Elephas maximus indicus: one gene and its partner. The protein of the gene in region 1 purifies or fractionates together with the protein of each later gene. This does not show direct contact. Links are inferred from orthologs where the notes say so. Each region holds a gene or a part of one and is shown on either strand. Other genes may lie near its edges.

The links. The genes of interacting proteins can lie anywhere in the genome.
Region 2: the proteins of DBF4B (region 1) and CDC7 purify together in Homo sapiens (affinity purification with mass spectrometry; 3 studies listed by BioGRID and IntAct, counting the BioPlex papers as one, with this or other methods). This does not show direct contact. The link is inferred for Elephas maximus indicus from reciprocal best matches to the Homo sapiens genes DBF4B and CDC7.

What each region holds. Positions count from the first base shown.
Region 1 is NC_064837.1:51,153,698-51,160,931, forward strand, and holds the start of DBF4B (protein DBF4 homolog B), read left to right. Parts: upstream 1-4,218; 5' UTR 4,219-4,366; intron 4,367-4,382; exon of another isoform or gene 4,383-4,394; intron 4,395-4,862; 5' UTR 4,863-4,891; coding exon 4,892-4,925; intron 4,926-7,234. UniProt on the Homo sapiens protein: Regulatory subunit for CDC7 which activates its kinase activity thereby playing a central role in DNA replication and cell proliferation. Required for progression of S and M phases.
Region 2 is NC_064821.1:150,943,284-150,950,634, reverse strand, and holds the start of CDC7 (cell division cycle 7-related protein kinase), read left to right. Parts: upstream 1-4,349; 5' UTR 4,350-4,447; intron 4,448-4,475; exon of another isoform or gene 4,476-4,941; intron 4,942-5,090; 5' UTR 5,091-5,167; coding exon 5,168-5,282; intron 5,283-7,351. UniProt on the Homo sapiens protein: Kinase involved in initiation of DNA replication. Phosphorylates critical substrates that regulate the G1/S phase transition and initiation of DNA replication, such as MCM proteins and CLASPIN.

The sequences.
Region 1 (7,234 bases):
CACCAGCTGCTCCTTGGAAACCCTATGGGGCAGTTCTACTCTGTCCTATAGGGTCTCTTTGAGTCTGAAATTGACTCAATGGCAATGGGTTTGTTTTTTTATTTGTTTTGTTTTGATGTTCCAGGCAGGTTCTTTACTCCAGGGATATAGCAGTGAATGAAACAAAGTCCTTATTCCTTTGTTGCTTACATTCTATATGGGAATATAGGCAATAAACAAGTAAACAAATAAGCAGGATACTTGCTGATAGCAGTAAGTGCTATGAAAGACATAAACCAAGGTGGTGGGGCTGACAAGGGGTGGGGTCAGAGAGGTCTTATCTGAAAAAGTAATACTTGATCTGGTGCCTAAAACAAAAGAGAAGACCTGGGAAATGAAACTATTAATGAAAGGGTCTAAAGCAGGAACAAGCTTAGGTTGTTGAAGAAGGAGAAAGAAGGTATGGTCAGAGGGGCAAAATGGAACTCCACTGGGAGTTTTTTTTTTTTTAATTTTTATTGAGCTTTAAGTGGACGTTTACAAATCAAGTTAGTCTGTCACATATAAGCTTATATACACCTTACTCCATACTCCCGCTTAATCTCCCCCTAATGAGTCAGCCCTTCCAGTCTCTCCTTTTGTGACAATTTTGCCAGTTTCTAACCCTCTCTACCCTCCTATCTCCCCTCCAGACAGGACATGCCACTGGGAGTTTTTTAAAGGGAGGGTAATTTAATCTGTATCAGGATAGGATAGGTAGGCAGTTCTAAATGTTTTGGTCTTACACCCCTTTATATTCTTAAAACATTGAGGATCTCAAACAGCTTTTTTTGTTCGTGTATAGATTAATTATTATTGCTGTGTAGAAAAAATCACCTCAAAACTTAGTGGCTTCAATTCAATTGTGGATTTATTCATTCGTTTTCTCTCAATTTCTATGAGTCAGGAAATTCTAGCAATTTGGGGGTTTCTGGCTTGGGAATCTCTTGTGAGGTTGCAGTCATCTGAAGGCTTGAGTAGGCCTGGGAGATTTCCTTCAAGGTAGCTCACTCATATGAGTGGCAAGTTGGTGCTGGCTGTTAGCAGGAAGCCTGAGTTACCTCTCCACATGAACCTCTCCATAGGCATACTGAGTGCCTTTGTGTCATGGTGGCCGACTTCCACCAGAGCAGATGATCCAAGAAACAGCAATATGGAAGTCATGATGTCTTTTATGACCTAGCCACAGAAGTCACACACTATCATTTCCTCAATCCATTGTGAGCATACATACCAGGAGGTGGGGATCACTGAGGGCCATCTTGGAGACTGGCTACCACAATGTGGGTTGCATTTATTGATATTTACAGAATTAGAAATTAAAATATAGAAAGTTTTAAAATATTAACATTCATTTCAAAACAAGAAGCCCACTATATGTTAACAATGTATTTTTAATGAAAATAGTTTTCAAAACAAAAATAATTAGAAGAATGTCATTGTTTTATATTTTTTCAAATCTCTTTAATATATCTGGTTTAAGAGAAGACAGCAGCATTCTCATTTCTGCTTCTGCATACTCCACTGAACACTATGACAGAATGAGTGAAAAACGGCAAGTTACATCTTAATTTTATTATAAAAATAGTTTTGACTTTGTAGAACCTCCTGAAAGTGTCTTGGGGACCTCAGACTACACTTTAAGAGCCTGGAGCTAGGTTATGATATAGTAACAAATGACCCTAAAATCTCAGTGGCTTCCTACAACAAAGGTTTATTTCTTGCTCATGCTACAAATGCATTATGGATTTGTATCTATTCCATGACATCTTCGTTCATCTTCGTTAAGGAACCCAAGTTGACAAACAGCCTGTCTTAGTTATCTAGTGCTGCTGTACCAGAAATACCACAAGTAGATGGCTTTAACAAAGAGAAATTTATTCTCTCGCTGCTTAGGAGGCTAGAAGTCTGAATTCAGGGAGCTAGCTCCAGAGGAAGGCTCTCTCTGTAGCCTCTGGGGGAAGATCCTTGTCATCCATCTTCCCCAGTTAAGGAGCCTCTCAGCGCAGGGACCCTGGGTCCAAAGGACATGCTATTCTCCTGGCTCTTGTTGCTTGGCGGTATGAGGTACGTGTTCTCTCTGCTGAATTCTCTCGTTATATCGTTTAGATTGACTCAAGATACAATCTAATCCTGCAGATTGAGTCCTGCCTCATTAACATAACTGCCACTAATCCTGGCAGTTACATTATTAACAGAACTTATTAACATCATACCCATCGCTGTCAATTCCAACTCATAGCGACCCTATAGGATAGAGTAGAACTGCCCAATAGAGTTTCCAAGGGGCACCTGGTGAATTTGAACTGCCGACCTTTCAGTTAGCAGACATAGCTCTTAACCACTATGTCACCAGGGTTACTTATTCACATCATAGAAGTTAGGATTTATAACACATAGAATAATCACATCAGATGACAAAATGGTGCAGAATCACACAATAGTGGGAATCATGGCCTAACAAAGTTGACACATATTTTTAGGGGACACAATTCAGTCCATAACACAGCCTCTACCTGGGACACTGCTAGTCATTGTGACAGGAGGAAAAGAGAACATGGTGAACCACTCTGGCTCTTAAAGTTTCTTCTTCAGAATGTCACTTTTTCTATCAGCCAAAGCTAAGTCACATGGTCAGGCCTGAGTTCAGGGCGGGCCCCCACTGGAAGGGACACCAAATACACGTGAACGGTAATATACTCCACCATGGTGTTTTATAAATATCACTCTGGCTGATTCATGAAGAATGGGTTATATGGGAAGAGGTAGAAGGCAGTTAAGAGTAGAAGTCGTGTTAAGAATTGACTGCAGTACTTCAGGTAAGAAATGAGAGTGGCTTGGAGTAGGGTGGTAGCAGTGGTCTGATTCAAGATGTTACTACGGAGGTAGAGTTAGTAGGACTTGTTTTTTGAAGTGGGAGTGGGATAGGAAAAATACTGAAAGATAACTTCTAGGTTTTTGGTTTGAGCAATTGGGTGGATAATGATGCTATTTATTGAGATGAGGAAGACTGGGGAAAGAAGAGGTGTTTGTTTTTTGGCAGGGGAAGGAAGGAACAAATTTCTGTTTTGAACATGTTAATGCTCAGATACTTGCTAGATTTCCAAGTGGAAATGTTCAGGGGGCACTGGACATAGTAGATCTCTAAGTCTGGGGCTCAGGGGAGAGGTCAGAAATAGAGACAGAAATTTTGCAGGCATTAGTATAGAGCTGAATTGTAAAGCCTTGGAGCTGGATGAGGTCTCCTAGGGAGTGCCAACAGGGAAGAGAAGAGGGCCAAGATCTAAGTGTTGGAAATACACCAACATTGGACCAGTGGCGTCGGATCCAGCAAAGGAGATTGAGGAGGAGCCATTGAGGCAAGGTGAAAACCAGGATAGTGCTGGGTAGTGAAAACCAAGAGAAGAAAGTATTTTATAACTTTGATTGTCAATGTTATAGAAGTTGGATATCATAAGGATAACAAAGTGACCATAGGATTTGGCAATGTGGAAGTCATTATTGATCTGGACAAGAAAAGTTTTAGGGGGGGTGAGGATCAAAGTCTAATTACAGTGGGTTGAAGAAAAGATGGGAGGCGAGGAATGAAGACACCTCTTTGTGTGTGTGTGTGCATTCTTTTTTTTTTTAATTGTGCTTTAAGTGAAAGTTTACAGTTAAAGTCAGTTTCTTATACAAAAATTTACACACTGTTATATGACCCCAGTTGCTCTCCCTACAATGTGACAGCACACTCCTCCTCTCCACCCTTTATTTCCCATGTCCATTCAACCAGCTCCTGTCCCCATCTGCCTTCAAGACAACCTCTTCAGCAGTTTTTTGTTAGGTAAGTGAGTGGAGAAAAGGGACGGGGACAAAGGTGTGAAGATGAAATGATGTGTACATGAAATCTTTACGTAAAGTGTAAACGCTCTGTAATCGTTAGGCTTATTTTATTATTCATACTCCTAGACATTTAAACCCAGCTCAGAGGGCACTGGGTTTTTGGTTCAGGGTAAATTCATTAATGCGCAGAATACCTCCAGCCAATGAAAACCCGAAAATGAGAGTCAGCTGGAGAAAGCTAGCTAACAATAACGGAGGCGGAGAAGTGGTGGGATTGTGAATTGTCCTCCCAAGGCCACCGTAGGGCAGATCTCGTAGCTATTATGGTGTTTTAGGGGTGGAGCTAGTAGGAAATTTAAACCGAAGCCGCGGCAGAGGGCGCCTAGAGAATGATGCAGAGGAACACCTGGGTTTTGGGAGTCTGAAAGAGATCATGGAGCCGGAGGATGTGCTACGCCGGCCTTAAGGAAGGACTACGGAAGCCGAAAAGGAGCCAAGAGTGTGAGAAGGGAGCTAGGAACGGGTACGGATGCCGGGAAGGGGAGAAAGTTGTAAGAAGGCAGGCGGAAGGGGTCAGAAGAGTTGAAGACGGGGTGGGGAGTCAGAAAGTGGACGTAGACATTGAGAAACGGTTAAGTGCAGAAACGGAGGAGGGTACAGAAGCCGTAAAGGCGGGGGGGAGGTCACAGGAATATAGGTGATTCAGCAGGTCTCGGGAGTTGAGGGGACAGAGGTCCAAAGGGAGCGAAGGAACTAGAAGGAACGGGAATTGAAAAGATGTACAGCGGGTGGCCAAGGGCTAACACGAGTTGAGGGAACAGAGTGCGAAAGGGGGCGGTGGGACTGAGGACACGCTCATGGAAGGAGACGTGGGAGTTGAGTGGGTTGGGGTGGAGCTGAGTCTTGCTGTCCTTGGGAGCCGAATTGGGAACTTTGGGCATTGTGCGGGTTTTGGGGGGCGGGAACGGTGGACGGTCGAAGGCTAGAGAAGGTGGTTGAGCTTTGTCCTCCTTTCTCAGGCGACTATTTGCTCGAGCCGGGGAGTTCCATGGCTGAGGCTAGGCTCCGGGTTCCGGACCTAGGTAGGTAACAGATTAAAACTAGGGATGCGAGGTCAAATTTGCTACTCCTGCCCTAGAGTCTCTTGGGAGAATAAGAGAAATTTTAGTCCTGTTTGGGTTGTCAAACTCCTTAGTAGTTTTGTGGAGGAGAGGATCATTTAGGAATTCATGGTAAAGGTCAAGCGAGAGCTTTTAGTCTGGTATTATGGACAAAGTAGGCAGATGGAGAGTCAGGATATAGTAATTTGTTAAAACTCATGTTCATGGTTATTTTCACCATAAATTTCTTAAGTTTATTGATAAACTTAAAATACTCCCACCGAGTTAGGTAAGTATTATAGCATATAGCAGTGCTTCCCCTTCTTTCTTTTACTATCTATCCAGTTTTAGTTCTGATTGTTACAAATACAGGTTTTGTTGTTGTTGCCTTTTACACAGTAGTAACATTTACTAAGTTTTTTTCGTCCTTCCCAGTCTTGTTGCTTTCTTCTGGATCTGTTTCTCTTTTTCCTGGGGAACTTTGTCCAAGACTGTTTCAAAAGAGGACTCTGTGTGATAAACTTTCTGAGGCTTGCGTGCCTGAGAATATATTTCACTGCTGCATTAAAATTCTTGAGTCAATGTTTTTTCAACACATTGAAAAATTACAATATTTTCTTCTTACACAAAGTAGATACTGTTGAGAAATGATATTAATCTGACTCTTTTTCCTTTGTAAATGACCTGCTTTTTCTCTTTAGAAAAATTGAGACTATTCTTTCTGTTTGTTCTTAAAATTCACTATGATATGACTGTGTCTGGATTTGGGAGGGTTTTTATTTTTCATTATTATTACAATCTTATGCTTACATTGTTTAAAATAACCAAGGTCTGTCACAAAACAAAACATTCTTCCGCTCTTCCTTTCATACCTCGTGATTCCCACTCCCTAGGGTGTGACTACAGCTTTTTTAGCTGTTTATTCTAGTATTTTTTTTTTCTAAATAGCATGTTCATACTGTTTTTTGTTATTGTTGTTTTCCATTTTTAATTTTATCTATTGGCTTTCTGCTATGGAAAGTAAAGATTTTTTTTTTTCTGTAACCTCTGTCCCCTTCACTACACACATACATATTTCCCTCCTCCCCTCATCCTCTCAATATATTTTTGTCTAGATGATTTTTGTGTTTACGTTACTATGATTATGTAAAGGCTATTCACAGCTGAGCCATATAGTAAACTAGGAAATTTCCTTTGTTTTCTATGTGTAAATCTCCACAGTCTTTACCAGAAATAACAAACCTCCCAATACTTTTAAGCTCATCAGAAGATCCGTCAGTTTCTTCTCTGTCTCGGAGACATACCTTCTGGAACCATTTGTCTTAGCAGTCTAGTCTGGTTTAGATATGCACTAGGCCTGTTGCATGGATTTCATCCTACTATCCCTTCATCATTCCGTGAAATTCCCTTTGCCTCTTTCCTGTGTTGGATCGTCTGTGTTCTCAATTCCATATTTTCCTCTTTCGGCTCATGTCCTCACTTGGGTAGAGTACGTCCTCCAATATAGCTTCCTGAGAAAGGTACATGAGAAATAATTTTTGGAGACTTTGCAGATCTGACAATTCTTTATTCTGTCTTACATTTGAATGATAGTTTGGCTAGGTAAAGAATTCTAGGTTGGAAATTGTTTTTCCTCAGAATTTTAAAGACATGTTTCCATCTTCTTTTAGCTTTCTACCTCCTCCTGAGTATTACAAGAGCCCTAACTGTTTAGCAATGATATTATTATCTTTTTTTTTTTTTGCTTCCAAACTATTCATTGTTATTGTTTTACACAGTCGGTGATTATTTAGGTTTATGCATATATTTTTGACATTTTAGTCCTTCCTTCTGGGTTCAGTTTTCTTCTTAAGTGTATCTTTTAGAGCCCTTTAGTGAGAATCTGTTGGTGATAAATTGGGGTTTTGTTTTTTTGAAAAAATGTCTTTATTTTGCCCTCATTCTTCAATAATAGTCTAGTCGTGTATAAAATTCTAAGTCGACCTTTATTTTCTCTCAGCACATTATCACACTGGTTTCTGGGTTCCATTGTTGCTATTGAAATGCCTATGAGAGCGTTAATAGCTGTTCCTTTATAGTTAAAGCTTGGTAGGTTCCCCGCCCCCCCCATTTAGTATCCTCTCTTTGCCCTTGGTGTTTTGCATATTCACTTTGATGTTTCTAAGTGTGGATTTAGTTTTATTTTATTTCTCCTTTTTGAGATTTGATTTCTGACACCAAAGATATATGGCTTTCATCAATTTTGGACATGTCACGTAAATGGAATTATACAATATGGAGTCGTACAATAT
Region 2 (7,351 bases), on another chromosome or scaffold:
GACTTATACAAAGAAAACTACAGTACACTTCTGCAAGAAACCAAAAGAGACTTACATAAGTGGAAGAACGTACCTTGCTCGTGGATAGGAAGACTTAACATTATAAAAATGTTCTACCAAAAGTGATCTATACATTTAATCCAATTCCGATTCAAATCCCAACGACATTCTTTAATGAGATGGAGAGACAAATCACCAACTTCATATGGAAGGGAAAGAGGCCCTGGATAAATAAGGCATTACTGAAAAAGAAGAAGAAAGTGGGAGGCCTTACTTTACCTGATTTTAGAACCTATTATACCGCCACAGTAGTCAAAACAGGCTGGTACTGGTACAACAACAGATACATGGACCAATGGAACAGAACTGAGAATCCAGGCATAAATCCATCCACATATGAGCAGTTGGTATTTGACAAAGGCCCCAAAACAGTTAAATGGGAAAAAGACAGTCTTAACCGTCTTTTTTAAACAAATGGTGCTGGCATAACTGGATATCCATCTGCAAAAAACTCCGTGCACAAAAACTAACTCGAAATGGATCAAAGACCTAAATATAAAATCTAAAATGATAAAGACCATGGAAGAAAAAATATAGACAACGTTAGGAGCCCTAATACATGGCATAAGCAGTATACAAAACGCTATAAAGAATGTAGAAGAAAAACTAGGTAAGTGGGAGCTCCTAAAAATCATCCAAAGACTTTGCTCATCCAAAGACTTCACCAAAAGAGTAAAAAGATTACCTATGGACTGGGAAAAAGTTTTTAGCTATGACATTTCTGATCAGCATCTGATCTCTAAAATCTACATGATACTGCAAAAACTCAACTGCAAAAAGACAAATAACCCAATTAAAAAATGGGCAAAGGACATGAATAGACACTTCACTGAAGAAGACATTCAGGTAGCTAACAGATACATGAGGAAATGCTCACGATCATTAGCCATTAGAGAAATGCAAATCAAAACTACAATGAGATTCCATCTCACTCCAACAAGGCTGGCATTAATCCAAAAAACACAAAATAATAAATATTGGAGAGGATGTGGAGAGTCTAGAACACTTATACACTGCTGGTGGGAATGTAAAATGGTACAATCACTTTGGAAATTGATTTGGCACTTCCTTAAAAAGCTAGAAATGGAACTACTATACGATCCAGCAATCCCACTCCTTGGAATATAAAACCACCACTGCCGTCGAATCGATTCCGACTCATAGCGACCCTATAGGACAGAGTAGAATAAGAATATATCCTAGAGAAATAAGAGCCTTTACAAGAACAGATATATGCACACCCATATTTATTGCAGCACTGTTTACAATAGCAAAAAGATGGAAGCAACCAAGGTGCCCATCAACGGATGAAATGGATAAATAAATTACGGTATATTCACAATGGAATACTACGCATGGATAAAGAACAGTGAGGAATCTGTGAAACATTTCATAACATGGAGGAACCTGGAAAGTATTACGCTGAGTGAAATTAGTCAGTTGCAAAAGGACAAATATTGTATAAGACCACTATTATAAGAACTTGAGAAATAGTTTAAACTGAGAAGAAAACATTCTTTTGTGGTTACGAGACGGGGGAGGGAGGGAGGCTGGGAGAGGGGCATTCACTAATTAGATAGTCGATAAGAACTACTTTAGGCAAAGGGAAAGACAGCACACAATATAGGGGAGGTCAGCACAACTGGACTAAACCAAAAGCAAAGAAGTTTCCTGAATAAACTGAATGCTTCGAAAGCCAGTATAGCAGGGGCAGGGTTCTGGTGACCATGGTTTCAGGGGACATCTTGGCATAATGAAATCTGTTAAGAAAACATTCTGCATCCCACTTTGGAAAGTGGTGTCTGGGGTCTTAAACGCTAGCAAGCGGCCATTTAAGGTCCATCAATTGGTTGCAACCCACCTGGATCAAAGGAGAATGCAGAGCACCAAGGATACAAGGTAATTACAAGCCCAAGAGACAGAAAAGACCACATAAACCAGAGACTACATCAACCTGAGACCAGAAGAACTAGATGGTGCCCAGCTACGCTGCCCTGACAGGGAACACAACAGAGAACCCCTGAGGGAGCAGGAGAGCAGTGGATGCAGACCCCAAATTCTCATAGGACCAGACTTAATGGTTTGACTGAGACTAGAAGGACGCCCGTGGTGATGGCCCCCAGACCTTCTGTTGGCCCAGGACAGGAACCATTCCCAAAGCCAAGTCTTCAGACATGGATTGGACTAGACAATGGGTTGGAGAGGGATGGTGGTGAGGAGTGAGCTTCTTGGATCAGGTGGACACTTGAGACTATGTTGGCATCTCCTGCCTGGAGAGGAGATGAGAGGGTGGAGGGGGTTAGAAGCTGGCGAAACAGACATGAAAAGAGAGAGCTGAGGGAGAGAGCTGGCTGTCTCATTTGGGGGAGAGTAATTGGGAGTGTGTAGCTAGGTGTATATGGGTTTTTGTGTGATAGGCTGACGTGATTTGTAAACTTTCAGTTAAAGCACAATAAAAAGTATATATATATAAAAAATGCTGGTCCTTGGATCTCACACCCAGAAGTTCTGTTATAATTGTTCTGGGGTGCAGCCTGGGCTTCAGAATTTTTAACAGCTCCTCAGGTGATTCTAAAGTGCAGCCAAGGTTGAGCACCCGTGTTCTAGAACAGTGCTTCTCAAAATGTAAAATTCATGCAAATCACCTGAGGGTCTTTTATAATGCAGATTTTGATTCAGTAGGTCTGAGGTGGGGTCCAGGATTCTGAATTTCTTGCCTATGCCTGTTCGCTGCAAAAAGTACTAATGGGGATCAGGGGAGGGGATTACTTACTGTCTGGGGAGAAAGTGGATTAGGTAAAATAACTGGTATCTCAGTGGTGGCCTGTGCATGGGTTTTGGAGTTAGAATAATCTTAACTTTTCACACCAAAATGAATCTTTTCCTCCAACAATTTTAGCTATCCTCTCCAATGATCTTATCTCTGAAACCCCAACTTTCACCATCTTATGCACCACCCTTACCTTTATAACTCATACCTCCATTATACAAATTCTTAGATTACATACTGATTTCCAATCCATTGTTCTCCTGACTTTTATCTTTCTACCAACTTCCCTATCACCATTCCTCCTAGCCTCCTGGATTCCATGATGCATCATTACAACCACTTCCTTGTAAATACCCTGACTTGCACTCCCTCTGTGCGAAGTGTTAAATCCACCTATGTTTTCCATGTCTGCATTCTCTTGGCCTGAAAGTTACTTGAGAACCCTGATGCCAATGTCATAATCTTTCTCCCAGTTCACATTCTCACTCAGAAGATACTTCAGAACTTTTTCTCGCTCCTCCGACTTCTAATACCCCTTCCTGCCTTTCTCTCAGCTCATATTTTATTAAGAAAACTGATACGATCAGGTAAGAACTTATTTTCCAACCCATACAAAAATCACCTGCGTCTGAATCCTTCTCTTCTTTTCCTGCCGTTAAAAGGATGGTAATCTGGGTTCATTTCAAAGGCATATCCCCCTCCATGTGCTTTGAATCCATCCCTTCATCCTCCTTGATAACTTCATTCCTGTAGGTATTCCCTTTTTCTCCCACATCAACAATTTCTTTCTCTACTAGATCAATCTCTACTGTTCACCACTCCCTTCCCCCTCTAAGACAAAAACAAAACCTCAAGAACATCTTTCGTTCCTCAAAACACTCTAGTCTTTCTGCCTTATTACATCTCTGAAACTGCTCTTTCTCCTTTTTTATTTCTTTGGGGCGCTCATCACTATCTGTAAGAATTTTATTCATTTGTCATCGCCTCACTAGAATTTAGCCTCATTAAGTGTCGACTATTTTTTTTTTATTGTCTACCTTGTTCACCTGCCTACCTCATAGTCAAGCACTCAATAAATATATGCTAAATGAGCGCCAACTGTACTTATTTCTGTGAATAGTCATAAACAATCAGGAATTGGCATTTTGCGTTTGTGTATTTTTACCGGAAAGGCAGAGCACTCAACGGAAAGGAAGTAAAAGAGCGACAAAGTACACGTCTTTAATCCAGGCTGCCCATGCCTTGGTGTGGCTACGGTATGGAGAAATGTGTCAAGACTCCAGAGCCTGAGGCTTTCCTTTTTCTGAACTATAGTCTTTCCTGAAAATAGTGTTGGACCCTTAACCTAATGGTTCACTCTATTTTTTAGTAAACGATTAACCTCAGATTTTATTTCTATAATCGCTCTTCTAGCCAAGTAGCAGCTAGCAACGGCCTTGGGGGAAGAAACCTAACCTTGCTGCGCAAGCGCCTAAAGTTTTCCAGTGCGCATGCGCAATTGAAACAGCGCGGCGGGAAGTCTAGCGCAGGCGCGTTTGGCCAGCTGCTAAGTGGGGAGAGCCGGGAGCCGGCGACCCAGGCATGTGGGGAGCCACGGAAGTCGTACTCCCTTAAACCGTGAGTTTCCAACGGTTTGTTCTTTCTGAGGGACTAGAAATGAATTCGGAATTCGTGGCTAGTCTTGTCGCAGTGCAGTACCCCCACCCCTTCTGGTCCCGCTGGCCTGCGGCGGGAAAATTGCGCGTCTGCGCACTAAGCATCCGCTTCGTCTCTGGTCTGAGCGGAAGGTCCTGCCCTACTGAGCTCGCGGCCGGATAATGTCCATTCATTGCCCATTCCCTTCCTCCGCCCGCCGCTAGTGGCTCGTGGCCGTATGAGTTCTCTGCCAACTCGCGTGAGTCCCCGTACTAGCTTCCTGGAGTTCCGTCTCAGTGGTCACAGTTTCCTCCTTCAGTCCCCTTCCTCAGGTCAAACCGCTCCGGGCACCCCTTCCACGCCCAAATACAAACGTCAGCAGTTCCCCACCACCCTTCCCATCGCCGCCAGCTGCTGATGTCCCCCGACATGACATTCTCCCTTCGGCCCCCTGCCGGGATTTCTGGGAGGTGAAGGTAAAAGCAAATGGAATCCTTAGAAATAGTTCACAGTTTCTCTTTGGGGATTTGAACATACAGTGCTTTTAAATGTTTGTCCCTTTGGAGACAGTGGCATTTTTTGGTGCTTGCTTCGGTGAGTGATTTAAATTTCTCATCTTCTCTAGCATTCTAATTTTCCCAGCTGCTTTGCTACCCCTGTGGACATGACCTCTTAGCTGGCACTTTACATCCCAGTTTTGTGATGGAGGCGTCTTTGGGGATTCAGATGGATGAGCCAGTGGCCTTTTCTCCCCCGTGTAACCGGCTTCAGGTTGATGGCTCGTTAAAAAAAGATGAGCAGAGTTTTAAACTTCCAGGTATGTGTTTCATTCCAAAGATGTACTTAGAGGTAACAATTCTGAGTTTGTTGCTTTAAAAAAAAAATAACTCGAATCTTTAAAGTGAGTTGTATATTTGCGTAGGAACATTTTACAAATCAGTAAAGCTTTATAAGATCTAGATTTAGGATTGGATTGCAGTTTAGAAAGAGGATTGTAATCCTGTTTTGTCATTGTACAGATGAAGTTGCTAAAGTCTGAACAATTACCCATTGCCACCGAGCCTTTTCCAACTCATAGCAACACTATAGAACAGAATAGAACTGCCCCGTAGAGTTTCCAGTGAGCAGCTGGTGGATTTGAACTGCCAGCCTTTTGGTTAGCGGAAGAGCTCTTAACCACTGTACCACCAGGGCTCCAAAGTCTAAACGTTAGTGACTGCCTGATAACACCAAGTTTGTTAATGCCCAACCTAGAATTTGCCTCTTCCTAGACCTATGGTCTTATCTCTTCTCACTGTATTGTCTTAAGCTTGACACTGGAGGGATCTTTACTAAAGTATTCAGAGGCAGAATTCACTGACACAAATACATGAAATGTTTGTAGCAACAATAAAGCACAAAACCTGTGGGAGCACCGGCCGCACCCAGTGGTGGCTCAGTGGTAGAATTCTTGCCTTCCATGCAAGAGACCTTGGTTTGATTGCACCGCATATGCAGCCACCATTCCTGTCAGCACAGCGAATGTTTGCATGTTGCTGTGATGATGAACAGGTTTCAGCAGAGCTTCCAGACTAAAACAGACTAGGAAGAAAGGCCTACTTCAGAAAATCAGCCAGTTAAAACTCTGTGGTTCACAGTGGCCTGATCCGTAGTCAATCATGGGGATGGCACAGGACTGGGCGGCATTTTGTTACTGTTGTACATGGGCCATTATAAATTGGGGGCTGATTGCATGTCAGCTAACAACAACAATCCTAGATTTTATTGAAAAATACAGTATAATTTACTTGATTGTTAATCTATTTGAATAAAAATGTGTTCCAAGTAATATATTTTTGCTCTTTTCCTGCCACTCCAAGTGCTTTGGTGGGGGAAGAAGAAAATTATGGTCTCATCTGAACATGTCTGTTACTAAATCTGTTAAGCATCATTTTTATTGAACACCTGTACATGTTGGAAGACAATTCTCCATTAAACTGTCATGGCAGCTAACAACAATGTATCTCAGTGTGTATCATGAAGCATTGTTTGAATTTATCCCAGACCTTGGGGTGAGGAGGAGAGGGTCAAACAATATCTAGTCTTGTACACTAAAATGTTTGTCTTCATTCCTGTTTTAGCACAGTGCCTGGGACATAGTAGGCATTCAGTAAATATTTGTTAAATGGAGGAGTTCCAGTTAACTGTTATTATTATTTTTTTTTTTTCCTTAAAAGCTGGCTAAGTCTTTTCCATCTTTCTTTTAAGTGAATTTAGTGTTTGTCCAAAGCCGATTAGTTTTGGCCTTTTGTCCATGCTCAGTGTATACTTATGCTTCCTGACTGAAAGTAAGCTCATTTTTGGTCTCAAAATGAGTACATTTCGTGGGTTCCCTAATTTTGGTGATGAATCCAGGTTACCTATGCTCAAAACTGTAGAGTTGTTACGGAGTTAATGCTTTGTATTTGCTTCCTAATCTAGTTCACCCAGCATTGTCTTCTTTCTTTTTAATGTGTATAGCATTGCCTCTCCATTCCCTCTGCCACCACATTAATTCATCCCTTTATCACATTGCTCCTTAATTGTAATGAAGTTTCTTACCTAAACTGCCTGCTTTCACTTCCTTTCCACACTCCAGTTCATCTCATACACTGGTACTAATAATCTTAAAATGCCCCTTTTGTCCAGTTGAATGAATGGTGTTCCTCTTCCATTTTTCTTAAGATTACCTGTATTTAACAATTCAGCCTTATTAATCATTTGCCACATCATTGTGCACTGCCTTGTGTTGTTATTCCTGTATTTTGAATCTCTTCAATGTATACTATAAGCTCCTTGAAGACAGTGTCTCCCATAGCTACTGACTTATGTTGTGTCCTAGGCAGGGTGCAAAGGATGAATCTGATT